Linked DNA regions of Cricetulus griseus. The protein of the gene in region 1 purifies or fractionates together with the protein of each later gene. This does not show direct contact. Links are inferred from orthologs where the notes say so. Each region holds a gene or a part of one and is shown in the gene's direction. Other genes may lie near its edges.

Region 1 (4,447 bases):
GCCTCTCAAGCGCTGGGATTAAAGGTGAGTGCCACCAACGCCCAGCATAAATCTTTAAAACAAACAAACAAAACAAAATTTAAAAGACCTGATACATACTCAAGATATTTGTTGAATAATGAATAAGTATGTCCTCAGTATCTTAATTAACTGTAGATTTCTAGCATCCCATAGGGAATTTGTTAACACATAATAAATGAATGACAGTTTTAACATGGGAGGCAGAACTTGGACAAACACATACAGGCAGGCCCAGCCAGGCTGTCACACATTTTCTTTGTGCACGTTAAAGCTGTGGTGTTGTTTCTGGAAGTATTGCCCTGCTCAGCAATGACATTAACAACACTCCATTACTCTCCAATAAGTATCTCTTTTAAAAGGATATGTGACATTACAAATATAACTCTTTTGTTGTCCTGTTGTGGGAACTGGAACACCACGGCGTTCTACTTCTACCTCCCAAGTCCTAGGATTATAGGACTAATAAAAATATAAAAAATTCAAGGTGATATATTTCAGTCATGCCTCTGCTAGTTTAGGAGATAGAACCATGGAGGCCTGCACTAAACGTGGGAGCATGTTGTTTAGCTCGATGGAAATGAGCGGTAAGATTATCAGAATGCCTCATCCAAATTCAAGTCCAGCCACTACAGATAAACTAGTTTAACTGTAGTTCAAGCAGCCAAATTGGGATAGGAAATGGGGAGAAAGGGACGACATTTAGGACTGGCTGGTTAGGAGAGGTAATATGGCATCTCCCAGGCTCTTAATTAAGCGTTCTCCATCTCTTTCTGGTGAGAAAGCGAAGGCAGAGCTGCAGAATGTCTGTTAGGTCTGGGGCAGAACATTCAAGCCTCTTCTCTCCCCATCAAATCATTTCCCAAACTCATTGGGAACTCGGCTGGTGCCCGGGCTCTGGGAAACCTGGCCGCAGGCCTCCAGGACACTGCCACACCGCGTAGCCCCAAAGCTGGCCACCACCAGAGGAAGGCCCGTGTGGAGTCTCGGGTTTCCACAGACCCGCCCAAGCCCCTTCCATCGCAGCACCGGAGGGCAGCGCTGTGAGAATGGACCAGGTGCAAGTCCCGGCAAAGAAGGGCAGCCACCGCCCCAGATGAAGGAATCAGGCCAAGAGGGTGCCCTGAAGGCGAGCAGCGTGAAACCTCACGGACATTCCCACCGGCTGTCTCACATAGTTCGGCCCCGCCGGGCCCCGCCTCAAGCCTACTCCCCAGCGGAGGGCGAAGAACATCCGCCTGCGCCTTTAAGGGGCGTGGCGAAGGCTCCGCCCCTTCCACCCGCGCGCGCCAATAAGGGGAGGGGTGCGGGAGGAGGAGCCTGAGGTGGGGAGCAGGAGGCGACGTGTGACCCGGTGCGCAAGCGCAGTTGCCGGGTGTTCGTGTGTTTCCAAAATGGCGGCAGCGATGGATGTGGATACCCCCAGCGGCACCAACAGCGGCGCGGGCAAGAAGCGCTTTGAAGTGAAAAAGGTTGGGTCTGGCCAGCACTTTCCTCAGGGAAGCTAGAGAGGTGTGGATATGGCTGGCAGGCCCCAGGACGAGCGGGGCGCGGGGGAAAGAGCTTCATTTCAGGGCGTTCCTGGGACCGGGTACCACGAAAAGGAAGCTGGGGGGCGGGCTTTAGGATTGATGGGCATGATGGTGACCCAGTCTCTGAGGCCATATAAGTTTCGCTGGGGTAGCTGAGGGGCCAATCGCAGGATGTCTTACTGAAATACTCTGCGTCGACTTGGTTGCGGGAGCCAAGCGCTTGAGCTGTCACTGAATTGACTGAGAGGTGGGGGAAGGACAGGGTGGGGTGGGTGGAATGGAGGCTCTCGGAGAGACTGCGGCGGGTGGAGGATGGGGCAGTGCGGAGAAAGCCGGGAGCGTGAGCCCCTACCGCAGAGGAGGCTCTCAGGAGCCCTGTCGGTCGGTGTTCTCCTTGCCCCGCCCCTTCCTGGATCCTTGAGTCTATTGACTCGGAGAGACCTGGTGTGGGTCCTCGATTGTATGGAGGCCTCCATTAGGCTCTAAGGCCCTAGTCTCGAGTATAAGACTTGGTTCTTCAGAAATGTCTACTGCTTGTCACGTATAGGTTTTGCCAGTCCCATAGTTCTGTAACGTCCGGATACCCTTCTATCAAAATCAGTAGTTACAAAGCTTCGTGGGCTTTGTTTTAAAAGCAAGCCCAGAACTTGTGGCATTTAGGAAAGTGGAATACTAATTGTTCATGATTTGGGAGCAGGAAAGCAAAAATGTCGAAAGTCTTTTTGCATGCTGTTCCCTTCATAGTTTGCCAACAGTTTGAGAGAAAGGTGTCAGTTCCTACCTCAGAATACATAAATCTGTAAAAATGAAGATATTGTAGTCGGAGAGATGTTTTCATGTATTTTTGGAGCGTGTCGCTGAGCACACCCTCCACCCCACCCCCCTTTTCTGGCATCTCATTGTGGCCATTGCTGCTCAGTTACAGCCAGCAGCCATATTGAAGAATAGAAGTAATCGTTTTTTTTTCAACCCCCCGAGTTGATGCTGTGGTATAAAAAGTGATGTAGAAGTTACTGAACTTCTGAGACTTGAATTTGAAAGAGCCCTTGAAAGGGGTGTCTGTCAATATGTATGTATAATTGCAGAAGCCAGTTGAACTACTTTTAGATCGACTTGCTTACTAGAATTAATAGTTTGGACATATAAAAGTTGACAACATCAGTTTCCAGGATAAGAGGGAAAGAAAATTGTAGTGGATTCTACTTTGCCATGAATTAATCTGTTAAGATTTAAGTGATGACCTTGTTCTGTGTACTGAAGCTAGGTAGGTAACTGGCTATCCGGCTTATCCCACGATTATCCACATTATGATCCTGTCATCATTTTACTCCATTCTGTTCACCTCCTTATGTGTCCAAAACTGCTTGAAGAGCAGAGACTTCTGCAGATTTTGAGTCCTTCCACAACTGCCAGGGAAAGCTCCACAATAATTCAAGTTTGTACTTCTTTAAATCTAAAACCGGTGTTTAAAAAATATTTCTAATTTGCTTACATTGGTTGGACTAGCTAAATTATTTTACACTATAGACAGAAAATTGAAGCATCCCATGTTTACATCTTCAGATGAATGAGGAAGCATACATGTGGTTTGCTGTTGTCCTCTGATGTAGTACAAATAGTATAATCCAAAAACATTCTTTCTTTGATAGCCCCTAAGGCCAGGGAGTTGGTAGCTTGAACTGAAACCTGAAATCCTGTTACATTACTAGGAAAATGCATTGTTAACCCCCTTTGTCTTTGCAGTGGAATGCAGTAGCCCTCTGGGCCTGGGATATTGTGGTTGATAACTGTGCCATCTGCAGGAACCACATTATGGATCTTTGTAAGTAACTCAGGGAGGACGGAGAGAAATGGAAAAGGTTACAGAAATGGTGGTCATCCTGATGTGACCAATTTTCTTCTTTACAAGTAGATAGATACAAAGCAGGGTCAAAACCCTTGGGCATGAGTGCATCTCATCCGTTGGTGTGTTTGAAATAAATTTATTTTGTTCTTTGAGACACAGTTTCTCTGTGTAGCCTTGGCTGTACTAGAACTACTTTGTATACCAGCTGGCCTCAAACTCAGATCCATCTTCTTCTGCCTCCTGAGGTCTGGGATTAAATGCCTGAGCCACCAGTACTCAGCTCCACTCAAAATTATTTTTATTATTAAGTTAAATAGTTAAAACTATTTTTCGACGGGCGGGCGTTGGTGGCACATGCCTTTAATCCCAGCACTTGGGAGGCAGAGGCAGGCAGATCTCTGTGAGTTCAAGGCCAGCCTGGTCTTCAGAGCGAGTGCCAGGATAGGCTCCAAAGCTACACAGAGAAACCCTGTCTCAAAAAACCAAAACAAAACAAAACAAAACAAAAAACAATTTGCCCAAACGGTTGCTATCAACCGTTTCAAATAAAGTTATTTTTTTAAATAATGTCTTAGGAGGCATCCCCAGGTCTCAGAATAAATTATTCATTGTAAAGCCAACAAGATCCCATTTAGAATGAGTTATAGGAAGAGATGTTGTTTCTTCCCATCTTACACAGACACAATAGTGAAAGAAAGTGACCTTTGAAGGTAGATAAACCGTGCATACCTGTAATTCCAGCATTTGGGAGGCAGTAACAGGAGTATTGTGGCAAATTACAGGCCGCCAGGGCTAAAGTTTGAGCTTCAGTACTCTTATCTGAGCTAGGTTTTGTTGAGCAAGATTTACAGTCACAGGCTGGAGGAATGGTTCAGCAGTTAAGAGCACTGGCTGCTTTTCTAGAGGTCTGAGTTTTAATTCCCAGCAACCACATGGAGGCTTAACATGGCCTATCACTTCAGTCTCAGGTTAGTCAAAGTCCACTTCTGGCCTCCAACAGACCAGGTATCCTCTGGTGCAGGCAAAATACCCAAGCACATTAAATAAGTGA
Region 2 (4,518 bases), on another chromosome or scaffold:
CTCTCTTGTCTCCTCTTTCCTTTCTTGTTCCTTTTTACTGTCTTGCCTCTCTTGCTCCTCTCCTGTCTCTTTTCTTCCTCTGGTCTCTGACTGTCTGCCTGCCTCTCTCATATCCTCACACCGACATGGCCTTTCGCTGCCCCCCTCTCGCAATAAACCTCTTGTACTAACTGTTGCTTGTGGAACCAGGTACCACAAGATCAAGTTCTCAGCACAAAGGAAACTTATTTGCTCCAGAGGGACAAAGGGCAGGGAATAAGAAACAAAGACAGGAGACAGAGGATGATGGAGAAAGTGAAGGGAACAAGGGATGGGGGAGGGATATTTGCCATGGAGGGGCAAAGGACTACTTCTTGATAGAGGGGACAGGTATGGCCCATAGGCAAATGGCAGTTTGTTAGGATTAGTTGGTTTGTTTTGATTGGGCATGTTAATTAGGTGAACCAAAGGGGGCTTTTGATTGCTAGACTTTAATACTTTTGATAGCTGGACCTTGATAGTCACCCTCAGGAGGAGGAAGTAGCCAAATAAAGAAGTACTTTGGTGGCTAGCTTTAGGAATGTAACCTAACAGTGTAGCAAGGCAGAGGGAATGGGGGAAGGACAAGGCCTGTCAGAGCCATGCTCACCATGCTCGTCATGCCCAGGCCTACTGTGCCCTTCATGTATAAAAAATTGTTGACACCCCTCCTCCAGGATCTGCTCTTGCTCTTGTCTGCTCATTGCCCTTGTCTGCTCAGGAGACAGAGGCAGGCCGATCTCAGGTCAAGGCTAGCTTGGCCTACAGAGGGAGTTCCAGGACAGGCAGAGCTACACAGAGAAGCCCTGTCTCGAAAGACAATAACAAAAAGGCTATCACACAGCAGCATTAAAGAGCTTCTCCTTGTTGAAGAGTTTCTTGCTTACCATGGTTTCTGTCTGGAGAGAGCAAAAGGATGCCAGTCAACTGATACATTATTAATCCCACCCACCACTCGAGAATAAGACCACTACCACAGTTTAAAGCCAAATTTGAAGCAAACTTCAATTAAATATTGGCCAGGTAGATGTGATCCGGCCCGGTCCATACCTGGTTTCCCAGGAAATGGCCCAGAACCAAGTTTTACAAGGGCTTAAAATGTAACTTTGGCTCTCACAAAGTAACTTAAGTGTTATAGAGAACAGCCGTCTCCATGGTTGAGTAACCTCAACCGATCTTTGGGCACAGGGTGCACGTGTTATGGTTCACGCCTACCTCACCTGGCTGCCCCTATCCAACTCCCTTAACCATGTTTTGTTTTCTACAGCACTTGCTTCTTTCCACATAGTTTGCTTGGTTGTTTATGCTGTCTTTCTCCTACGACCAGATGTAGACCTCCCACAGTTAGGAATTTGTTCATCTGTGCCAGAATCCAGTTTGGGATGTATCAAGTGTGATGGGTTGTCTCAATTTAGGTACAACTTAATTTGTAGCCTTAATCCCCGATGAAAAATTGCTCCCAACTTGGTGAAAACAAGGGTAGATGAGGAACATAAACACCCCGTGAAAATCTAGACAGCTGCCTTGAAACGAAGCTTTAGTTCAGGGTCACTAGGTCTAAGTGAAGTCAGGTAGGTGGTAGGCAATAAATAGCCTACCTCTCCACCTCTCTCCACAGACCTGACCATTCTTTCCCACCTTCCGGGTGGGCGGGGCCGGAAGTAGAGCCGTTTCCGCCTGGAGCTGGGCGCTGGGTGCCGGGAGGGACGCGCGGAGATGACGCAAGCAGCACCGGAAGCCGCTCCCCTGTGAGGTTGCGGACCAGAGCAGCGGCCGCAGGTCCAGGTCTGTGTGGGCTCTGGGCCGGGCGGGATTGGGCAGGGATCCTGGGCGCCCGCGGCGTTGCTGACCCACCCCCTCGGCCTGTCTTCTCCCTCTCCCCGCAGGCGCCATGGCTGCGGAGCGGACCCGGCCGCTGCGACGCTCTGGCGGCCCGAGCGCGCCTAGTCGGTGTGAGCCCGGCGCGAGGTCCCGGGCCCCGGGGCGCTCGCTCAGGTCAGTGCCGCGCGGAACACGGCTCCGGGAGCAGGGGACCAAGGGAGTCATGAGCGGGCTGAGGGATTCGGAGTTCATTTTAGAAACAGGAAAATTAGATCTAAGAGTTCCTGCCTCGGTTTCCCTATCTGCGAAATGAATTAACATTGATGCCCCAAGGCTACCGTTTGATGAAAGATGAAGTGCGGACAGGTGGTTTGTAAAACACAGAACGTTGTAGAGCGTGTAGGAAGGCACCATACTTGTGGGTATACTTGAAAACAGGTGTGTATTCGGGATGCTGCTTAAAAAAAGGGGCCGAGATAACTGTATTCATACTACATAGTAATAGTAACTGGCATTTATTGTAGGTTTATAGTGTGCCAGATACTGTGCAGAACACTTTATCCTGTTTAATCCTCACAAACTCCAGTAGGTAAAACAGTACCAGGCTACAGTTTACAAGTGAGGAAATATGCTTGAATTACAGGAGATGATTTGCCCATTGGTTACCCAACAAGTGAAATTTCAGGGCCCGAGTTTTTATTTGAATTTTTTTCAAAGCTTTAAAAAAATAGCCCCCAAACTAGGGGCTTTTAGGCCATGGGTGGCTGTGGACTCTAGTAGTCTCAACACTCAGGCAGCTGAGGCAGGAGAATTGTGAATTGGACTCCAGCCTGGGCTGCATTGCAAAAGCCTGTCTCAAAAGACAAACAAAAAAAAATTAAAGCAATTTTCGAAATTCCTGGAGCAAAGAGAGGAAAATATTTTTAAAATAGTGTATTCACATGTTTTAAATACAAAAACCTTTATATTTAAAAGGGAGCTCCCTCATCCCTTTCCCTTGTCTTTCTCATTCTCCCTGGAAGTAACCTGTTTAATCAGTTTCCTGAATATTCACAAAATATTTTTATGTACATATAACCCTCAGTGTACACATGCACACATATTCAAAGCATCTGATTCTTTTTTCCTTTTCGGTTTTTTGAGACAGGACCTCTCTACATAGCTCTAGCTGCGCTGGAACTCCCTATGTAGACCAGGCTGGCCTTGAACTCAGAGATTTCCCTACATCTGTCTCTGCTTGGCCTGCCTCTGCTTAACTGGTTGTACTTGGTAGGAAAAGGGGGGTAAGGAGATAACCTTTCCAACAACAACAAATATCTACCTTTTATTCTTTAAAAAAAAATACATTTTTGTGTGTGGTGTGTATGTATGCTTGAGTTTGTGTGTGAGTGTGTAAGCCAAAGAACAATTTTACGGAGTCAGTTCTTGCCTTCTAACTTTACGTGGTGTCTTAGTTTGGTTTTTATTGCTGTGACCATGCTATTACCATGACCATTACAACTGTCATAAATGAATACCTTTAATGGAAGAGGCTCAGTTACAGTTTCAGAGGTTCAGTCCGTTGTCATGAGGAGGAGCATGGTAGAGTGCAGGCAAGAAGTTGACTGACTGTCACACTGAGGGAAACTTGAGCAGAAAAGACCTCAGAGCCTGCCCCCCCCCCCCCCCCCCGCGCGCACATACACACACACACACACACACTTCCCCTCCAACAAGGCCACACCTCCTAATAGTACCCCTCCCTTTGGGGACCATCTTCTTTCAAACAACCACATTCCACTCCCTGGCCCCCAAGGTTTATAGCCATATATTAATGCAAAAATGCATTCAGTCCACCTCCCAATGTCCCCATAGTTTATAATAGACCCAAACATGTTTCAAAGTCTCTTCTCAGATGCATGGCAATCTCTTTACTGTAATCCCCTGTAGAATCAAAATCAGAAAACAGATCATATACTTACAACATATGGTGGCACAGGATATACATTTTCATCCCAAACACAGGGAAGGGAGCATAGTGAGGAAATACCAGACTAAAGAAAGACTGAAAACCAGCTGGGCAAACTCCAAACTCTGCATCTTCTTGTCTGATGTTAAAACACTTCAGATCTCCAACTCTGTTCATCTTTGTTGACTACAAGACACTTCTTTCTCTTGGGGTGGTTCCACACCCTGTTAGTAGCTCTCCTCTGCAGGTAACCCATGACTTTGGTGTCTATAACATTGTGGGTTCTCCAAGGCAATCCAGGCTTCAACTCCACAGCTTCACACAATAGCCTCTCTACTAGGCCCCCATTCAGGGACACCCTGACATGTACTTCTATAACTCCTTTTTTTCTATCCTTAACTCTATCAGAACCACATGGCCAACGCTGTCAGCTGTTAAGGTATGCTGCTTGCTGGGGCTGGAATATGGCCCCCTCATTCAGTTACATCTTCACTAGCTTTCTTTCTGTCTTTCACTGCCTAAGCTTGGCTATCATGAAACTTGGTCGGTAGACCAGACTGGCCTCAGATTCAGAGATCCTCCAGCCTTTGCCTTCCCAATGCTAGGATTAAAGGAGTGCCCCAGCACACCAGGCTCTTAATTCCTTTTACAAGTTAGAAATTTAGCGGGTGGTTGGGATCTTCCTCTGAGGTCACCAATTCATTTATTTCATTTATTAATCCATTTATCTC
Region 3 (3,831 bases), on another chromosome or scaffold:
ACACAAGGACAGCCAGAGTCTGGCAGTTTCCGGCAGAATCCACAGAGGCTCACTGTTAGATGGGATGCTGTCAGCTACAAAGGACAAATGCCATGATCATCCCCACTTTAGGAGTCCGCTCCTGGAAGTGGTATGTGAATGGGGACTGGATCCTGGTGGATTTTTGTTGGATCAAGCGTTGGGTATTTGGGTATTGGCGCTAACCAAGAAATGTTTGACCCATTACGACTCCTGGTCCACAAGTGGCATGCCGTCATTGGTCTTTGTCAGGGTACATGGGTAGGTGTCGATCCCACGCTTCGGAAAAGAAAAGGCCTGGCGAAAATATTATCTCCTAGTCTTTCTGTCTTGTCTTGAAGGTGCTTGATATCCTCCAGCACATCCAGACCCTTGACCCTGGGCAGCACGGGGCAGTGGGCTACCTAGTGCAGCACACACTAGAGCACATTGAGCGCAAGAAGGAGGAGGTAGGCGTGGAGGTGAAGCTGCGCTCTGAGGAGAAGCACAGAGATGTCTGCTACTCCATTGGACTCGTTATGAAGCACAAGAGGTGAGTACCTGCTCCTGGCCTCTGTGGCTGCCCACAGGCTGCCAGGGCCACAGCCACACTGAAGAGGGAAGAGGATCCCAGAGGCATACCCTGGTACCTCAGGTCATTTCACTGAGCACCCCCACAGGCCAGACAGCAGGCCCCTGCCTGCATCCAGCTTTTAACTGTGAGGTATAATGTCTTTCATGAACTCTGACTGCTCCTAGAGTTTGTATGGGGCTCTGGGGGTTGAGCCTAGGGATTGACCAAACTAGAAGCTCACTGAGCTATGGCCCCAGCTCCTCCTTCTGCTGTCCCTTCTCTGTCCCCTGCCATCTCTGATCTGGGTTAGCAGGGCTTTCCTGAGGTATAATTCTGCCCATGTCTGTTCACCAGGCAGAATTTAACTCCAGAGTGCTGGTGCAGGTTCATGTCCCACAAGCAACCTACAAACTGTGATTACTGTCCCCACAGCATGACCTTGGTGTGCTCATGTGACAGGAGCAGGTGACACTTGGTAGTGTTTTTCCCTCACTGGCAAAGGCAGTTCCATCTGGCCACACGGTCTTCCTTGTTGGCATGTGGCTACTTCCTACCCCTCCATTGTCTCTGAGACATTCATTTAGTGAATGCTTTCTTCTCAACTCCTTAAAGAAATTTCCAAACATGTAAGAGTGGAGAGAAGGGCACGTGAGGCAGCTTGTGCTCCTAGTGTACTGGCTGTAGCAGTGAACACCACAACCACCACTTCCCTCCTCAGTTCTGGACTAATGAAGTTAATGTTGCACACATTCACCCTACCCATTCAGTTGGAGGGAAGGGGGGGGGCTCCCCTGCTCACTCTTTTTTTTTTTTTAAGATTTTATTTATTTATTATGCATACAACATTCTGCTTCCATTTATATCTGCACACCAGAAGAGGGCACCAGATCTCATAACGGATGGTTGTGAGCCACCATGTGGTTGCTGGGAATTGAACTCAGGCCCTCTGGAAGAGCAATTGGTGCTCTTAACCTCTGAGCCATCTCTCCAGCCCCTCCCCTTCTCACTCTTATTATCCTCTTCTTACCAAAGGTAGTCTCTTGCTCTGTTCCAATGTTTTTCTTAAAGCTGGGTGGTGAAGGCGCACGCCTTTAATCCCAGCACTGGGGAGGCAGAGGCAAGAGGTTGGAGGCCAGCCTGGTTTACATAATTCCAGGACAGCCAGGGCTATGCAGTAAGAACCTGTCTAGAAAAAAAAAAAAAAAAAAAAAAAAAAAAAAAAGATTATTTTCCAGATACAATGCTTTGTTGATGGTGAGAGTAGGATTTGTAAAGAGGGACAGGATTTCTTAAAAGTGACTCCACATGGGGTAAGAGCAGTAGGTAATGAACAAAGGGCATGGAAGAACCCCAGCCTGCCTCTCCTGACTCCTCCGCAGCTCTGAGGCTCCCCAGGAGCTCACTTGCCATCTTCCCGTGCTCCACAGGTATGGATACAACTGTGTGATCTATGGCTGGGACCCCACCTGCATGATGGGCCATGAGTGGATCCGCAACATGAATGTTCACAGTCTGCCTCATGGCCACCATCAGCCCTTCTACAACGTGCTGGTGGAGGATGGCTCCTGTAGATATGCAGCCCAAGGTAAGGTGTTTGTTTGCTGTATCTCCACCCATCCCTGGCTGACCATGCTATAGGGAGAGCTCACCAGTGTATACAGGGTAGCAACTGTCCATAGCTAGTCACACACAGGCACACCAACACGAGGTCCTTGTTCTAGCACTGCTTACTGTCCTCACTAGCCAGACACCTGACTTCCCTGTCGCCCTCATGTGGCCACAGGTGAAAACTGCAGTCCCCTGTACAAACTCTGTGCTTGGTGACCTTTGGTAGGCCATGGCCACCTGACTGGCCAGCGCTGGGAACAGATGGAATTGAAGAGTCAGAGCAATGACTGTAGTGTGAGCCTTTGTCTGTGTCCCTTTTGACTTTCATACACCTGAAAGCAAGGAGCACACTGGTTTATTAATAAGAGAAGGTGTGGATACTGATGCGATGAACAGTGTGCCCTCATGGGTGCTAAGTCTGTTTGAGACCCAGGCGTTTCATACATGCAGAGCCTTGAGCTTGTACAGGCCACCTCCACTTTACCTTGACCATGAGGACATGAAGCCAGGAGTCTGGTGATGGGCTATGGCCTGAACCAACAGACCTGTTCTGCCCATACAGGGGTAAAAATACTGAGGTCTGGAGTGTCACGGTTTCAGATAACAGGAACAGTCCTCACATGAGTGATTGTGACCCATTGGAGGCCAGGAGGATCCATCCAATATGTCTGTAGGTGCCTCACCTCCTCCATGGGTTCCTGGGGTAAGGTAAAGGGGCCACATGTTCCCAGAGTGTTCTGGAGGCTCCCACAGGCCAGTCTTCGGCTTTTGAAGCTAACTCCAGTGAAAATCAAAGCTCTCCATTTCTGAAAGTCACCGTGATTTAAAAACGGCCTGGGGCTTTGCTCTATGACAGGTGAGGAAGGCTTTCTGTCATCAGTCATGACTCCTGGCTGTGGCGTCCTGGGTGTAGCAGTTGTCCACCCTACTCAGAGTGGGTGTAAACATCTTCAAATCAGATATTGAGGTTTATAGAAATAGTTCGTATACTGTGTTTGCTTGATGCAATCTGTAAAGTGAGCACTCAGCTTTAGTTGTTCTGAATGGTTCCTGCTGATGCCTCAGTGCACCTCACTGTGTGTGTGCACACACATGGGATAGTAGTTTGCAGTCACAGTGTAAGAAGAAACAAAAGTCTGCAGTCCAATGACTGGGTGGCATAGGAGTGGCTGTGATTATGTTAGCTTTGGCTGGTTTCCCTTGAGAGGCCCTTCTGTTGGCCACAGGACTATGGCTTCTCCTGAGGGCTGCTGTGTGATGGCTGTGGGGTGCAAGGGTGGCAAGGAACTCCTTCACAGCCACACATAGGTATTCACATACCTCCCTGGGCCAGATCCTGTTTCTAGTGACCTCGTGAACCCTTTTATTTGTGTGCTGGACTTCCAGCCTGGGCTCTCTGCTCTGTGATCTTGGGGTAGCTCCTACACATTCTTCTCCTGAACTGCTGCTCCACCCTGCCTGCTCCTGCAGATACACTCCACATGCTGTCCATTCGCCAACAGTGGGTTCTCACCTAGGTCTGTTTCATCAGTGAATAGGAAGGCCTTTTTGCTAGTGTTTGAAAGATCATTACAGGATCCTGCCTTGTGGTGAACCAGGGCTGTGGCTGCATACCAAATCACATGGCTAATAGCTCGTGTTTGATAAGCATT
Region 4 (3,831 bases), on another chromosome or scaffold:
AGGAATGCCTGCCCGATTTAAGTTATAGGTAGCATAGGTTCTCATGTTGTTACTGAAAAGATTCGTGGTATAACTTCAGCCATTTTAATTGATTGACTGGCTTATGACTCCGGATGTGATCCAGTGTGGAGAATGTTCATGGGGCTTGGGATGAGATTGGATTTTGCTCCTGTTGGATTGAGCATCTGTATGGATCTGTTAGGTTCAGTAGTCTGTAGTGTGTTCAAATCCAGCATCTCTTTACACATCTCTGCCAAATATTTCTTCATTCAGTTCTGTCAGTGTTTGTTTCGTATCTGTATACTCTAGTAGATGGTGTTACTCTCTATGTTGTCACATTTTGGTGAAGATGTCACTGTGTAGCATTATCATTCCATCATGCCTTCCTTTGTGTCATGTAACAGTTGACTTAAGGTGAGTATGGCTTTTGGAACTTGGAAGTGCTGCTCACCTGGTACTTCAGATAAGAAAACCAAGTGCTAGCTTTTCCTAGCTCCTGTGACATTTGTATTAGAGCCAAGACCAAGGCCCAGTTGTCCTAGTTTCCAACTCAAGCAGACAGTTTCTCCCTGGTCTGCCCAGCTTTGGATTGGGAGCTGTATTTGCTTTGTATTTGGTAGGTTTTCTTTGTTGGTGTCTCAGTCTTTCTAAGAATCATGGCCTGGATGTTATTTCGTTTTGTTTTTCAACTACATAGTTCATTCCTTGGAAAAAGCTGTATCATCGATACTTGATAAATGAAGAGCAGGCTGTCAGCAAAGTGGATGGCATTCTCTTGAGCCATGGCATAGAAAAGGACTCGGACTTATGTGTGCTGAACCTCATCCGGTGAGTGTCTTTCTTCCAGTTTGTGAGACAGTTTTCAAAGTCCTTTCTCATGTCTTTCCTCACGATTGTCTTCCTTCTGGACTCATTTCCTGAGCCTTTTACAGATACACAGCCACTACCAAATGTTCCCCAAGTGTAGACCCTGAGAGGGTGCTGTGGAGCCTGAGGGATCACCCTCTGCTTTTGGAGGCTGAGGCGTGCATGCGCCAACAACTACCTGACCTCTATGCATCTGCTGGGGTATGTGAACTGAGAGGTTGTGGGGTTACTTTGGGGGATGGTGACATCATTTCTCACTGGAAGTCTGTTGCTGATTAAGATTAATTGAAGATAATATATATATTCAAAAATGTTTTTAAAGTTTTTTTTTTTTTATTTATTATGCATAGAGTCTTCTGCCTGCATGCCAGCAGAGGGCACCAGATCTCATTCAAGGTGGTTGTGAGACACTATATGGTTGCGGGGGAATTGAACTCAGGAGCTTTGGAAGAAGAGTCAGTGCTCTTAACTGCTGAGCCATCTCTCCAGCCCAATATTCAAATTTTTGATTGAATCTCTGAATAGCATTAATCTTGTTAATGATCTATTTGGAGAAATAAAAGGCCCTATTTTCAGCTTCTTGAATGCTAGTTATCTAGTCTCTGAACACTTGGAGTGATAGGGTTTCTTTATGATAGCCATTTATATTTTAAAAATAATATAAGCCAGACAGTAGTAGCACACACCCTTAATTCTAGCAGAGGCAGGTGGATCTCTGAGTTTGAGGCCAGCCTGGTGTACAGAGCAAATTCCAGAAGAGCCAGGGCTAAACAGACAAACCCTATCTCAAAAACAACAACAAAACAAAACAAAAGCAGACCCAACCCAATATATGCATTTATATATATATTTTTATGTAGATAGGTCCACACATGAGTATAGGAGCTTGTGGAGGTCTGAAGAGATCCCCTGGAACTGGAGTTACAGGCGGTTGTGAGCTGCCATGTAGGTGCTGACCCTAGGTCCTGGACAAGAACAGCAAATGCTCTTAATCACTGAGCCATTTCTCTAGCCCTTGAGGTGGCTCTCTCCTTGTTGATACATTGGGTAATTTGAAAGAGGCAGAAAGATTAAATGTCTTACTATAGATTCACAGTAAAATAAGATGCTGGAAATGTCTATCAGTTTCCTCACTAGTTTCCAGATTGTGGCTGAGTCTAGCTTCTCCTCCTATCCTGTATACCTCTCTTTGAAGGGCATTAACGTCTGGGCCTTGGTGGCTGTCATGGTGCTCCTCTCCAGCTGCGTGAACGACATCCAGCATCTGCTCTTCTGCCTCAGGAGACCCAGCTCCACAGTGACCATGCCAGATGTCACCGAGACCTTATACTGCATAGCTGTGCTCCTTTATGCCATGAGGGAGAAGGGGATTAACATCAGCAATAGGTAACACCCTGGAAAGGAGCTGCTATGATAAATCACAATGCCCTAGACTTGTCCTAGCGCCTCCTTTCTCCCTGTGTAGTGTGTAAGGGGACTGGGCTGTGGAAATGCAATTCCAAGTGCTTTGTGAATATCATCTGCTGGTCAACTAAGATTTCTTCACATAGTTTCTATGTTCTTGGGTGTTGAAGCTAGAGGTGAAGGTGAAATGCCTCACAGTACTCACACCTGGCTACATATTTCTAGGAAAACGTTAGCATTTTTTTTTTTTTCTCCCTTGCTCACTTTTGGAGCGGACTATAGTGGGAGTCTTAATGACTGTGTCTTCTTAATATAAGAAAGGCCTAGAGTGTTGGTTGCTCATTCACCATTATCTTGACAGTGATAAAGTATGCAAAGATAAATAGCAAGCTGGAAATTGTCCAGGCACAAGAGAGTCCACTGTGAAAATACTTAACATTGCCTGTGCAGTGTAAGAAGACAGGCAGTGCATAAGCACACAGCCGCCTTAGGGAATGTGTGTTGTAATGGGAGTGGAGCAGAGCTCTGTGAGAGGGCAGTGGGGATCATTGTTTTAGATGGAATGAGCAAACACTTCTCTGAGGAAGTCTGAATGTCAAAGAGGAACCTCCATTTGGAGGTATGAGAAAGAGCATTTTAAGAGAAAGAAGAGGTAAGTTAAGGACCCAAAGTTGGAATTAATTTGATAAATACCAGGAAAGTTCAGTGAGGCAGAGTGCATTGAATATGGGAGAAGCTAGTGCAAGATTATGAGAGATGTCTGGGGACCAGGGGAGGGCAGATCTTTAAAATCCTGAGTATGGGTGGTATATATGGAATGGCCTGCCCTTTCATCTGAAGTGGTGAAGACAGGCAGCCATCATGCATCCAGTTCTAGAGAGGTAGAAACCCAGAGGGTTTCATCTCTAGGAAAAGACTGACCCCTGCGATTAGTGAGCCCCTAGAGAAACACAGCAGTGACCTCATCATCCTTGGTAAGGTAGTACAGAACAATTCTGTGTGTTTATGGACACTATAACAGTACCATAAACCAGGTTGTTTAAGCCACAGACATTTGCTTTCTTGCCCTTTTGGAGGCTGGAGATCCAAGAACAAGGTGGGGAAGATTGGGTTCCTAGTGAGTCATCTTCTCTGTATCCCAGGAAGAGAGAGATGGAAGCAGGGGAGACAGAACACTTGACATTGTGTCTCTTCTTTTAAAAATGAGTTCGAGTGGATCATGGCTGTAGCTTTGTAACTGCACTGAATCATAATTCTCTCCTTCCTTCCTTTCTTTCAGCAGTCCTTTTATGGTATTAGGGCTTCAGCTTTTGAATTTCAGGAGGGGCATATAGTTCAGTCCATAGTAGTGTGGTATGTTGCTCTGGTTGTATGTCCAGCCCCTGAAATGTTATTAAAGGTATCTTTTTTCACCAAAAAGAGTGATGCTTTGAGATCAGCTCTTCACTCTGGAGTGGAGCAGAGCACTTGATTGGGGAATTAGTGTTCCAGGCTGCTGAATGTGGGCTCCGTGTACACATTTGAGGTTTTGGAGCTGCTTTGGGTGGACTGAGTTTGTTA
Region 5 (3,522 bases), on another chromosome or scaffold:
AAAGTTATATAACCTCATCTTACTTTAGCTATAGAGCTCTATATTGATAATCTGTAGCAAAATAGTACAAGGTTTGGTTCTATGAGAAAAGCAGAATTAATCAAACCATTTATTTATAAAGATTTTTTTCTTTTGTGTGTACATGTGGGCAAGTATGTGTGCAAAGGCGCAGATTTGGAATTCAGAGAACAACCTTCAACTCAGTTCTCCTTCCTCTCCGGGTCATCAGCAATGTTGTCAGGTGCTGAGCCATGTCACTGGTCCTATGAAATCAATTCTTGCCATGATTACTGTTGCTTGTCATAGTTATAAAACATGAGTTAGTGAATAAGAATGATTGACTGAAATGTCATTACTTTCTTTCTTACCCATAGGACTGGAAGCAACCCTAAAATTAGACGCAACAAAATTTGGGGAGGACAGAATGGTGGAATTCTAGTTTATAATTCTGGTATGTTTAATCCATCTTCTTTTTCTGTATTAATAAACTTTAGAAATATGCCTTCTAAATAACATACCTAAATTTTACATTTGTAGGTCTAGGCTGTATAGAAGACAATGAAATATTTGACAATGCAATGGCTGGCGTCTGGATTAAGACAGATAGTAATCCTACACTAAGAAGAAATAAAATCCATGATGGGAGAGATGGTGGCATCTGTATATTTAATGGGGGTCGAGGTATTGTTGTTAAGTTTGCATTAGTAAAAAACCCAGTTTTCTGTTGTTCTTCTATATCTTTAATGATCAGTGACACTGCCAACTAAAATGTTACAACTAGATGAACCTCCTTACCACATCCTTAAATGGTTTAGGAAATTTGTGTAAAGTATTCCCATCTTTTGTAACTGCCTTGACTGCCAATTGTCAGTAAAGCTTTTTGAAGGTAGAGTTGCACATCCTCACTCTGGTCCTTTTATCCTAATAAACATTAAAGTCAAGCTAGAGAAGTAGATGTGACAAATGAGTATGTAAAATACATGCAACTCTATAGTAAACAAGTGTTGATTTTGTAACTGTTGGAGAACTAAATTAAAAAACCCAACGTGATCCTGGTCCATAGAGCCAGCCTAGTTTGCCTTGAGGCATTAGTCCTATAGTGGTCACCCTTTCCAGATAAGTGTTCATAGATTTTGAGACGGTGCTGAGAGGAAAGCATGGATTCTACAGTGTCGACAACCCAACACCCAACATTCTGCATTATCCCACATAAAAGAAATATACCAATGCTTGAGATCATTTATTGTAGCCGAACAGTGATACCGACTCTCATAGAGGTCAACACCTCTAGTCTGAGCCCTGGGGAGTCTGAATCAGAAGTGCCATAAGCCTTACTTTGGCTCAGTGTGAGACTGTCTCCAAAACAAAAAAAAAAAAGGCAGTGGTGGTGCACACCTTTAATCCCAGTGCTTGGGATGTACAGGCAGGCAGATCTCTTTGAGTTTGAGCCCAGCCTGGTCTACAGTTAGTTCCAGAACAGCCAGGATACAGAGAACTCCCCCCCCACACACACACACACACAAAGGGTTTCTCTGTGTAGCTTTGGAGCCTATCCTGGCACTCGCTCTGGAGACCAGGCTGGCCTCGAACTCAAGAGATCCCTCTGCCTCTGCCTGCTGGGATTAAAGGCATGTGCCACTAACGCCTGGCCCTACAGTAAATTTTTTGCGCTATGTCTCAAAATATTCAACTGATGGGAGAGCTTTCCAGGTATAATTGTTTGCCTTTGACTTTTTTGTAATGATAGCTAAAGACCATAAATAAAAATTATGACATCCATAAAATCTACAACTAAATGGAGTGGCACATTGTTAACCAGCTCTGAGGGAAACTGAAAATGGTGTAGAAGGTACAAGAAGTGAAGAGAGCTGAAGCTAAGAGGTTTTCTGTGTGTAGTGAGGCCATGAAGACAGCTCATTGTCTAGAGGGGCTTGTGTACAGGCCTGAGGAGCTGAATTTAGTCCCCGTATCCCACAGGGTAGCTGGAGACCTCCACATGCACACAAAACGTTAGGAATGGAGCAGGAGAGATGGCTTAGTGATTAAGAGTACTATCTGGCCGGGCGTTGGTGGCGCACTCCTTTAATCCCAGCACTCAGGAGGCAGAGGCAGGCAGATCTCTGCGAGTTTAAGGCCAGCCTGGTCTCCAGAATGAGTGCCAGGATAGGCTCCAAAGCTATACAGAGAAACCCTGTCTTGAAAAACCAAAAAAAAAAAAAAAAAAAAAAGAATACTATCTGGCAGGGTGGTGGTGGCACGTGCCTTTAATTCCAGCACTCCAGAGACAGGCAGGTCCCTGCATTCAAGGCCAGCCTGGTCTATAGAAATCCTGTATCAAAATCAAAACACACACACACACACACACTTGGTCTGCTCCTGCACATAAAGTGTGTGTGTGTGTGTGTGTGTGTGTGTGCGCGAGTCTCAAAGTCTCTGTTAACACCATCCCTGGGAATCTTAATGTCCTCTATGCCTGAGCACCAGGCTTGCATGGAAGGCAAATTAAATAGGAATGTGCTGGGGCTGGTGTTCAATTGTAGATTGGGTCCTTAACATTGAAATGTTCAAAAATACTAGAGGTCAGCTGTCTACTGAAATAAGTCTACTTTCTGGAAACAGAAATACTAGTACAAAAACAGATAGTGGAAGTCACAACACTTGCATACCTGGCATCTAGGGGCAGAAGAGGAGGGCTTTGGTTCCCCTAAAACTGGAGTTACAAGTAGTTATAAGCCACCATGTGGTGCTGGGAATCAAACCCAAGTCCTCTGGAAAAGCAGCCAGCACTCTTTAACGACTGAGCCATCTCTTCAGCACCTAAAAACAGGTTATCTGTGAATAGCTGTTACTTACTAGTGTACTCTACCATGAAAGTATTTGAAGGGTTTAAGTAAGTCTTGATTCCTTGGCACACATTCACAGTGGTGTAAGGTGTGAAAAACTCACAGAGGAAGTGATGGTAGGAGATCAAGGCATTTCAGGAATAGTGTCTGACTACATTACTATACACGACAAGTAACTAGAATACTCTTGGGGGGGGGAGGATAATGGAGTAAGAGAAAGCAAGAGTGGGGACAGACAGCTGCCTCAGAGAAATGGCAGAAGACTTCAAATGCAACTTGATTTCAAACCACTCAAAAATTAGATTTATGAGCAGAGAAAGTCATCAAATGAGAGGAATAAATAAGGAAATTATGAGACTTCTGCACATCACTTCCTTTTGAGTTAAGGAACAGGAAGAAGCCATATACCATGAGGTGCTGGCCAAATTAACCCATGTGCTCCAGGCGTGGTACATGCCTGTGACTCAGGAGCCCAGCCTTGGGTTACATATTAAGACCCTGTTTCCACAGTGTTTACTGTATACATTAGCTTTAATCTAAGTGTTTTAATTATAGGTCTCCTTGAAGAAAATGATATTTTCAGGAATGCTCAAGCAGGTGTTCTTATCAGCACTAATAGTCATCCAGTCTTAAGGAAAAACAGAATATTTGATGGATTTGCTGCAGGTTTGTATTCTTT
Region 6 (3,327 bases), on another chromosome or scaffold:
CACCTTATATCCCCAAAGCACCACTTGTTGAAGGAGTCTGCTGGAATGTACATAGAGTGTCAGAGAAAGGCCTTTTACGTGCCTGCTTTGAGAGCTGAGGCTGGCCTCCAGTTCTTCTCCATAGTGGAAAGTGTACCTAGAAGTTCTGCTGTGCACAGCTGGCGCAGGCCACGCTCCAGCCTTACAGTGTTCTTTCCCCACTGCTCCAGGCACCCTGTGCGTCACATCTCCTTCAATAGTCACAGCCTCATCACCGCCAATGTGCCCTACGAGAAAGTGGTGCGGAACTCCGACCTGGACAACTTTGCCTGTCACAGGAGGTCAGTTGAGGGGTTGGACACATCCTGAAACATGCTTAACATGGTTTCATCAGTACCCCCCCCACACACACTCCATCCCCAGTCACATGCTCCTCTCAGGGTATCAACCATGGGCCCTGTTTTTTTGTAGAACTTGGGAACACAGTGGCTGCTATAGACCAGAAGCAGGTACTGAGTGTCTGTCTGGGGCATCCTGCAGCTGCTCCTGACATCTGGGGCACGGTGTCAGCTAGACAGTAAGGCTGGGCCTCAGTGTCCTGCATATCTGACACTGTGGGCTCAAAGCACACACTATCACAGTGGAGAGGTAGCCTAGACTCTGCATGCCTCTTGCCACACCAGCCTTGCTGACTGCTGCTTCTCTGTGTTTCCTCTAGACATCGTGGCCTGATCCATGCCTATGAGTTTGCAGTGGACCAGCTGGCCTTTCAGAGCTCTCTTCCTGTCTGCCGCTTCCCCTGTGACACCATGGCTGGGTACAGCTATGACCTAGCACTTTCTTTCCCCTATGACAGTGTTTAGGGCGTCACCTTATGGAGAAGTGGGAAGAGCCAGTTTTACAAATGTCAGAGCTGCAGGGAAGATCTGCAGCACAGAGTGGAATTTGGGGATAGTGCCCCCTCTCAGGTGGCCTATGGCCACACAGCCTTGCTGCCTCTGAAACCACCTATAGAGAGTCTGCTCCCATTTAGGGCTTTGGGAGCACCTGCTGATGACTCCGAGTTAGCCTTTCCCAAAGCGCTCCTCCACCGCAGCCTATGACAGGAGAGACACCCCTCCCTCCCTCCTTCCACACGCTAGTCCCCTGTGTGTGGTGCTGAGGATGGCCAGAGCCTCACACATGCAGGCAAGCACTCAGAGTGGTCTCCTGACCCCACCCTGTCCAGCCCTCCTCTGTGGTTTTCACACAGTTCATCATTGTAGCCCCTTACCTGTGTGAGGACTGCTCCATTTCACTTGCTGCTCTGTCCGGTACATGGACTACCAAGGAACCAACCCTCCTTCCCTGGGGAGGACAGGGCCACTCCATAGGGGTGGGCTTGGAGCCTCAGCTCCTGAGCGTGGCTGGTGGCACCACTTCCCTCAGCACCCCAAAAGCAGCCGCAGTCAGTGCTCTTGACAGATACCCACTCTGCCTGCAGAACGGCACGGGCACACCCACACACAGTGGCCAGGAGACCTAGTCAGTGAAAACATTTGGGTAGACATGCAGAGCTCTTCAGAATTCCTGTGGACCAGGCACCTAACACCTGTACAGAGATCCACAACATCAGGCAGAGTCCCTATCTCAGCCAATGCCAACTCAGAAAAAAAAAAAAAATCAGGTGGACCAGGCCACTCCACAGTGGGTTCTGCAGAGGGCAAAAAAGTGGCAGGGGGAGCTTCGTGCTCTGGAGACCAAGGTAGCTAAAGAAAAGAAAAAAAAAAAAAAAAAAAAAAAAAAAAAAAAAAAAAAAAAAAAAAAGGTGCTAAAGGGGTTGAGAGGGCTTGCATCTCCAGAGGGAGGTGGACCCACCTCTAAGCCAGGGTAATACTGAGAGCAGCAGCCACCCTCCCTGACCGACCCCTCCCCCCCAGCAGTAGAGCCTCACTGTACTCCAGCCTTGTTTCCCAGTGCTGGGCATGGAACCTGGGGCCCCGTGTGTGCTAGGCAAGTGCTCTGTCACTGAGATACTACCTGGTTTTGTGGCATGAAGGTTTCTCAGCTTAAGACATTCAGAGGCCTCAGACATCCAAGGTCTAGCAGGACAGGCGCACAGAGCCAGCTGCAACTGGGCAAGGCTTCCATGCAGGCTCCTCCCTCCCGAGGGGGACTTTGAACCACACTGCAGAGTGCCAGCAGGTGGCAGCTCACCTCCCTCCTGCTGGGCTGATGGCCCCCACTGGCTTGGTCTCAAGCTTTCCCAGGCCTGCATCTGGGCCCCAGGGGAAACTTGACTTCTCCATCAGCACCATGAAAGGACATCCAAGAGCTTTGAGAGCAGATACAGAGGTGACTGGAGTGAAGACAGAAGCATGGCTGGCAACTAGGGTAGCTTCAAGCATACCCTGCCCTTGCCCCTTAGGAAAAGCACTTGGGGACACAGTTCCTCACACAGCAGCTCTGGTTGTTTTCTGTCAGCTCAGCCTCCTGAGAGACACACACCACCCCCCACCCCCAGCCCAGCAACAGACCTACCCAGAGATCTGTCCCTACTGACTTCTGGGGTTGCTGCCACTGTACCCACCAGCAGGGTAGGAGACAAGTGGTCTCCCTTAGCTGCCTCGAAAGCCTGGAGGCACCAGGACACACCCCTGAGAACCAGAGGTGTCCGCACACCCGCAGCTTGCCTTTTGCCTTACGCAGCCATGTCTGCTCTGTTATTAAATATTCTGGACTCACTCGTGGCCTTGTTATCTGCTCCTGCGAGGATGCACAGTGCTGACCCCTGGCCCCTTGTTAAATCTTCCTCCATGGTTCATCATCACAGCTGGGAGGGGGTGCAACATGACAGCATACAAGGCAGGGTCTGGGGAGTATGTGGTCATCTTTGGCTGGGCTTGCTGCTGTTGTGACTGGGCTGGTTGTCCTTGCAGGCCATGAGCAGCTTGCTTATCCTGAAGCCCATACAGCAGTTCCCATGAAAAGATGGTCTCGAGTTTCAGCTGAGCAATAGAATTACCAATCTTTCCCAGCAGTGGGGTTTCCATTCTTCCTGAACTGGAAATCCCAGAGACAATCCCAGACACAACCCCAGGACGAAGTACTTAGTTCCCTCCCTAGGCTCACATCCTCTCCAGGAGAGGGTGGCACGCCCCAGTCCACTTGTTAAATGGCAATGGCAACACCACAAGTTGTGAACCACCTCTCCTGGTGAGGGGGCTTTCAGGTGACAATTGCCCTAAGATAGTGGTTCTGACAGGGACACTGCTCCTGGTGAGTTCTTGCTTGAAGCAGCAGATGGCATGGGCCGTGGCATTGTGGCCACACATCCAAGCCAGATGGTTACCTGGCTAAGGCTACTGT
Region 7 (4,538 bases), on another chromosome or scaffold:
GGATCGCATCTGTTCCGCAGACAGGAAGAAACAAGCAACAAGAGGATGAATGTGTGCTTTGTCTTAACCTAAGTCATAGTGTGTACTCTTCTATGTTTCACGCACCCCTGAAGGGCAAAGGGTAGCATATGGCCTAGATCCCCATGGAAACCTCCCTCTCATTTGTGGAGGGTGGCAAAGATGCTTCTCTGTTCCCTAGGGACATGTGGCGTGCTGCTTCGGAAGGTGAATGGAACAGCCATTATCCAGCTGCCCTCTAAGAGACAAATGCAGGTATATATGGGCACAAGTGGGAGGGGTCAGCAAAGAAGGAATTTTTGGAATGTACCTGGCCAGCTCCCAAGTGTTTATGATGCCAGGGACTACCTGCAGCTGTGTCTGTCCCTCTCTCTGCCACCTGACTAAGCATGCCTTGTCAGGTTGGCACCTTAGTGGAATAAGTAGAAATGCCTTTTCTCTGCTGGGCATGGTGATACATGCCTGTAATCCCAGCATTCCAGACTTTGACAAAAGAATGAAGCCACCTAGGCTACATGACACCATTTCAGGAAACCAGGAGAAGACAGGGTTGAACAGTCTGGCTGGAACTGGCTTATAATCTCATCGCTCAAGAGGCAAAGGCAGGGGGCTTTTGTTGAGTTCCAGGCCAGCCTGGTCTACATAGCTAGTGCCAGAACAGCCGGACTCCATAAGAAAGCCATAGAAACAAACAAACAAAAAGGGTAGTCTTTTTATCTACTCAGTTCATCCTGTCGAACCCACACTTATAGTCTACTATTTTGTGTTTTCTGTCTTCTCCCTTCCCTCACTGAGTTTAAGAAGCCACACAGAGTCGTGCTCTCAGCACTGCCATGCCTGCCCCTTGTCCCCACGGTGCACTCTCGCCTGCTTCTCTTGTCAGGTGCTGGAGACATGCATTGCAACTGTAGGCCGAGTCTCCAACGTTGATCATAACCAACGAGTCATCGGCAAGGCAGGACGGAACCGCTGGCTGGGCAAGAGGCCTAACAGTGGGCTGTGGCAACGCAAGGGAGGCTGGGCTGGCCGAAAGATTAGGCCACTGCCCCCCATGAAGAGTTACGTGAAGACTCCCTCTGTTGCTGCTGCCCAAAGCTGATTCCCCTGACTCTAATAAACGGACCCGTTTTTGTCTTACCATCTTTTCACTTTTGAAGGGCGGGGTACAGACTGGACGAGGAGTAAACAAGGATAGAGGGAAGGGAAGAAAAAGACAGGATGGGGAGGGGGTAGACATGACCTCCAAGGTCTTTCCCAGTTCTTGCTTTGGGAAACGGGAAGGCACTTCCGGCAGCAGGAAGGAGGACTAAAAGGAAGAGGAAAGGGCGGTCCGGTGCTGGAGAGCCGCGTCGTCGAGGTGGCACCCGCGGCTCCGCCCGCCGCAGGCCCCTCGCCCCCGGCTTTCCTCCAAGACGGGCGGGAACGAGCGGTGGCGAGGTACAGGCAGCAAAACCTCCGAGCTCCCCAGCTGGGACCAAGCTCCGCCCTGCAGCAGCGGGCGAGCAGGGCGCCGGCGCGGAGGCCAAGTCCCGCAGGCCCCGCCCTCTGCCCGCCTGTCTGCTGCAGAGGCACGCCCCCTCCTCTGCACCTCGACCCCTTCGGGGGGCCCAGGCGGGGCCCAAACATTCGCCAGCGCCGCAGCCGCCATCGTGTGCTTCGCGTCCCTAGCTCTGCAAAGGACAGGCCTCGGCCAGGATCCCGGCGGACTTCTGAGGTGGCCACAGCCCCACCGCGGCCCCTGACCCTATTCTGGGCTTCCGATCGCCCGCGGAGCCTCGCGTCCCTTTCCCCACCACGCCTTAGGACTCTCCTTTATTGGGCCTAACCCCGCTCCCAATCCTATCCCACCGCGACCGCTCCTGACCTTATCAGGTCTTGGTTCCCATCCATCAAGCCCCGCGCGCCCCTTACCCATCGGACCCCCGGTGCGCCTTGCCCCTGGCCTTGCGTCTTCTGCAGTTGCTCTGGCCGTGGATATCTCCATTCCTACCCCTCCTCCCAGGCCATGCTTTGCTGGTGGCCATCTCACCGTCCGCGCTCTCGCCTTTGGCACTTACAACACAGTGCTTCAATTTAGAGATTGCATCCCTCTCTGACACAATCCTGTGCCTTCACACACCCCTTTCCCTAGATCACCTTTATCTGTCCCGGGATCTTGGGCTTCATTTGTAAATCCAGCACTGCCCAAACCACTATCCCTCCGGTCGTTCCGAACCAACCCACTCAAGGCCGCATGCTTTGGAGACCTTTTAGCTCCGTTATTTGTTCTTGAAGAACAATTTCCGCAATGTTCTGCCCAGCCCCGGTCTCACCCAGCCCAAAGTAGGCCCAGCTTTACCCCACCCAGGCTAACAGCTGTTGCTGCATTTCCTCCTCCAACTCCTGGATGCCCTTGATTTTCTGACCTCCCCTCTCACTGTAGCCTGCCTTTTCTCTCTCAGGTGCCAGCATGGTGGGGGAACTCCGCTACAGGGAATTCAGGGTGCCCCTGGGGCCAGGCTTGCATGCGTATCCAGATGAATTGATCCGGCAGCGAGTAGGCCATGATGGGCACCCTGAGTATCAGATCCGCTGGCTCATCCTCAGGCGTGGAGATGATGGGGAAGGGGACTCTACCCAAGTGGACTGCAAGGCTGAGCATATCCTGCTATGGATGTCTGATGATGAGATCTATGCCAATTGTCACAAGATGCTGGGCGAGGATGGCCAAGTCATCGGACCTTCCCAGGGGTCTGCAGAGGCTGGAGCCCTCGACAAATCTGTGCTGGGGGAGATGGAAACAGACGTGAAATCCTTGATTCAGAGGGCCCTTCGTCAGCTGCAGGAGTGTGTGGGCACCGTTCCCCCTGCCCCTCTCCTTCACACTGTCCATGTACTCAGTGCTTATGCCAGCATCGAGCCCCTCACTGGTGTCTTCAAAGACCCCAGAATCCTGGATTTGCTCATGCACATGCTGAGTAGTCCTGATTATCAGATCCGCTGGAGTGCAGGCCGGATGATACAAGCTCTGTCCTCCCATGACGCTGGTGAGGGGCAGTATGGGGAGGGGCAGGGTCGGCTCGGGGATTCACAGGACACTGTGACAGGAGCTTCTGACATCATCAGTACGTAATGGTTCTGTTGTCATTCACTTTAAGTTGGAAGGAAAAGGTGGGGGAGGGCCTGGGGGATGTTTGTGGGGGGAGAGAGACTGAATAAGTAAGAACAAATTTAATTAGCTTTTCATGCAAAAGAAGAGCTAAGACTGCTGCAGTGTGTGTGTGTGTGTGTGTGTGTGTGTGAGAGAGAGAGAGAGAGAGAGAGAGAGAGAGAGAGATAGTAAACTTTGGCTCTAAAAGCAAATCAACAAAATATGTCATTCCTGATGAGTGCTGGTAAAGGATTGTTATTAAGTAGAAAACGAGTGAGCCTTGGGAGTGGTTTCTCATTGGAGGTGTGGATTCCAGGGACCCGGATCCAGATTCTTCTGTCATTGAGCCAACAAGAGGCCATTGAGAAACAGCTGGATTTTGACAGCCGCTGTGCACTGTTAGCACTCTTTGCACAGGCTACCCTTGCCGAACACCCCATGTCTTTTGAGGGCGTGCAGCTACCACAGGTATCTTGTAAGGGTAGGGGTAGTAGGAGCTGTGGACTTGTCACGGAGGAGACTGTGGAAAGGGACAAAAGGTGAAGGCACGATGGGTGAGGGTCAAAGGTGTGTCCTACAGGTCCCAGGACGGCTGCTCTTCTCCCTGGTGAAACGATACTTGCGTGCCACCTTCCTCCTGGACCAGCTGAATGGCGGTGCAGGGGAGCAAGGAGCCCAGAACAACTTGGTTCCTGAGGAGTTGAATGTAGGGAGGGGCCGGCTGGAACTGGAATTCAGTATGGCCATGGGCACTCTGATCTCTGAACTGGTGCAGGCCATGCGCTGGGACTGGGCCTCCAGCAGACCAGGGAGGTTGGCACGGTCCTCCTACTCCATTTTCCAGCCTCAGCCAGCAGATGCCAGCCTGGCATTCCCCCACCCCCAGCTTATCAGGAGGTCAAAGCGTTTTCGGCCCCGCACTGAGTTTGCAAGTGTCAATACCTATGCTTTGTATGTGCGGGACATGCTGCAGCCTGGGATGCGGGTACGGATGCTAGATAATTATGAAGAGATCGCTGCTGGGGATGAGGGCCAGTTCCGACAGAGCAACGATGGTATGCCCCCTGTGCAGGTGAGTGTTGCATGGTAGTGGGACACTGGAAGATTTACTTATTGTAGGGCATAACTTCTATACAGGGGCTCTTACAAGCTAGCTTAGTTAAAAGAAAAGGCAAAGGGGTCAACAGTTGAAAGAAGGGCTACTTGGAGAGCTTGGGATGTTCGGGTATAGGAGATTCAGACCCAGGAAGAAACTGATAGCTCAGAATGAAGAAGGTGGGCTGTCTGGGGGCAGATGGGAGCATGGAATCATGTGGTTTGAAAGACAGAAAGAAGCCAGCACGTGAAGTACATGCTTGTAAACCCAGTACTGGGGAAGTAGGGCAGGAGG

Evidence for each region.
Region 2: the proteins of Rbx1 (region 1) and F-box/WD repeat-containing protein 2 purify together in Homo sapiens (affinity purification with western blotting; 3 studies listed by BioGRID and IntAct, with this or other methods). This does not show direct contact. The link is inferred for Cricetulus griseus from reciprocal best matches to the Homo sapiens genes RBX1 and FBXW2.
Region 3: the proteins of Rbx1 (region 1) and Fbxo21 purify together in Homo sapiens (affinity purification with mass spectrometry; 3 studies listed by BioGRID and IntAct, with this or other methods). This does not show direct contact. The link is inferred for Cricetulus griseus from reciprocal best matches to the Homo sapiens genes RBX1 and FBXO21.
Region 4: the proteins of Rbx1 (region 1) and Fbh1 purify together in Homo sapiens (affinity purification with mass spectrometry; 3 studies listed by BioGRID and IntAct, with this or other methods). This does not show direct contact. The link is inferred for Cricetulus griseus from reciprocal best matches to the Homo sapiens genes RBX1 and FBH1.
Region 5: the proteins of Rbx1 (region 1) and Fbxo11 purify together in Homo sapiens (co-immunoprecipitation; 4 studies listed by BioGRID and IntAct, with this or other methods). This does not show direct contact. The link is inferred for Cricetulus griseus from reciprocal best matches to the Homo sapiens genes RBX1 and FBXO11.
Region 6: the proteins of Rbx1 (region 1) and Fbxw8 purify together in Homo sapiens (affinity purification with western blotting; 6 studies listed by BioGRID and IntAct, with this or other methods). This does not show direct contact. The link is inferred for Cricetulus griseus from reciprocal best matches to the Homo sapiens genes RBX1 and FBXW8.
Region 7: the proteins of Rbx1 (region 1) and Cul7 purify together in Homo sapiens (affinity purification with mass spectrometry; 9 studies listed by BioGRID and IntAct, with this or other methods). This does not show direct contact. The link is inferred for Cricetulus griseus from reciprocal best matches to the Homo sapiens genes RBX1 and CUL7.

Annotation. Positions count from the first base shown.
Region 1 is NC_048595.1:378,619,543-378,623,989, forward strand, and holds the start of Rbx1 (E3 ubiquitin-protein ligase RBX1), read left to right. Parts: upstream 1-1,333; 5' UTR 1,334-1,412; coding exon 1,413-1,490; intron 1,491-3,293; coding exon 3,294-3,372; intron 3,373-4,447. UniProt on the Homo sapiens protein: E3 ubiquitin ligase component of multiple cullin-RING-based E3 ubiquitin-protein ligase (CRLs) complexes which mediate the ubiquitination and subsequent proteasomal degradation of target proteins, including proteins involved in cell cycle progression, signal transduction, transcription and transcription-coupled nucleotide excision repair.
Region 2 is NC_048599.1:146,551,072-146,555,589, reverse strand, and holds the start of F-box/WD repeat-containing protein 2, read left to right. Parts: upstream 1-1,694; 5' UTR 1,695-1,803; intron 1,804-1,904; 5' UTR 1,905-2,013; intron 2,014-2,058; exon of another isoform or gene 2,059-2,277; intron 2,278-4,518. UniProt on the Homo sapiens protein: Substrate-recognition component of the SCF (SKP1-CUL1-F-box protein)-type E3 ubiquitin ligase complex.
Region 3 is NC_048597.1:97,899,484-97,903,314, forward strand, and holds part of Fbxo21 (F-box only protein 21), read left to right. Parts: intron 1-338; coding exon 339-550; intron 551-1,998; coding exon 1,999-2,156; intron 2,157-3,831. UniProt on the Homo sapiens protein: Substrate-recognition component of the SCF (SKP1-CUL1-F-box protein)-type E3 ubiquitin ligase complex.
Region 4 is NC_048596.1:228,531,050-228,534,880, reverse strand, and holds part of Fbh1 (F-box DNA helicase 1), read left to right. Parts: intron 1-697; coding exon 698-828; intron 829-932; coding exon 933-1,068; intron 1,069-2,062; coding exon 2,063-2,253; intron 2,254-3,831. UniProt on the Homo sapiens protein: 3'-5' DNA helicase and substrate-recognition component of the SCF(FBH1) E3 ubiquitin ligase complex that plays a key role in response to stalled/damaged replication forks.
Region 5 is NC_048598.1:89,602,775-89,606,296, reverse strand, and holds part of Fbxo11 (F-box only protein 11), read left to right. Parts: intron 1-374; coding exon 375-451; intron 452-537; coding exon 538-681; intron 682-3,398; coding exon 3,399-3,509; intron 3,510-3,522. UniProt on the Homo sapiens protein: Substrate recognition component of a SCF (SKP1-CUL1-F-box protein) E3 ubiquitin-protein ligase complex which mediates the ubiquitination and subsequent proteasomal degradation of target proteins, such as DTL/CDT2, BCL6, SNAI1 and PRDM1/BLIMP1.
Region 6 is NC_048597.1:97,960,776-97,964,102, reverse strand, and holds the end of Fbxw8 (F-box/WD repeat-containing protein 8), read left to right. Parts: intron 1-209; coding exon 210-320; intron 321-697; coding exon 698-842; 3' UTR 843-2,703; downstream 2,704-3,327. UniProt on the Homo sapiens protein: Substrate-recognition component of the Cul7-RING(FBXW8) ubiquitin ligase complex, which mediates the ubiquitination and subsequent proteasomal degradation of target proteins.
Region 7 is NW_023276806.1:256,067,550-256,072,087, forward strand, and holds the start of Cul7 (cullin-7), read left to right. Parts: upstream 1-1,508; 5' UTR 1,509-1,732; intron 1,733-2,459; 5' UTR 2,460-2,467; coding exon 2,468-3,122; intron 3,123-3,464; coding exon 3,465-3,616; intron 3,617-3,728; coding exon 3,729-4,220; intron 4,221-4,538. Other genes in the region: Mrpl2 (39S ribosomal protein L2, mitochondrial), read left to right, coding at 200-273, 902-1,117. UniProt on the Homo sapiens protein: Core component of the 3M and Cul7-RING(FBXW8) complexes, which mediate the ubiquitination and subsequent proteasomal degradation of target proteins. Core component of the 3M complex, a complex required to regulate microtubule dynamics and genome integrity.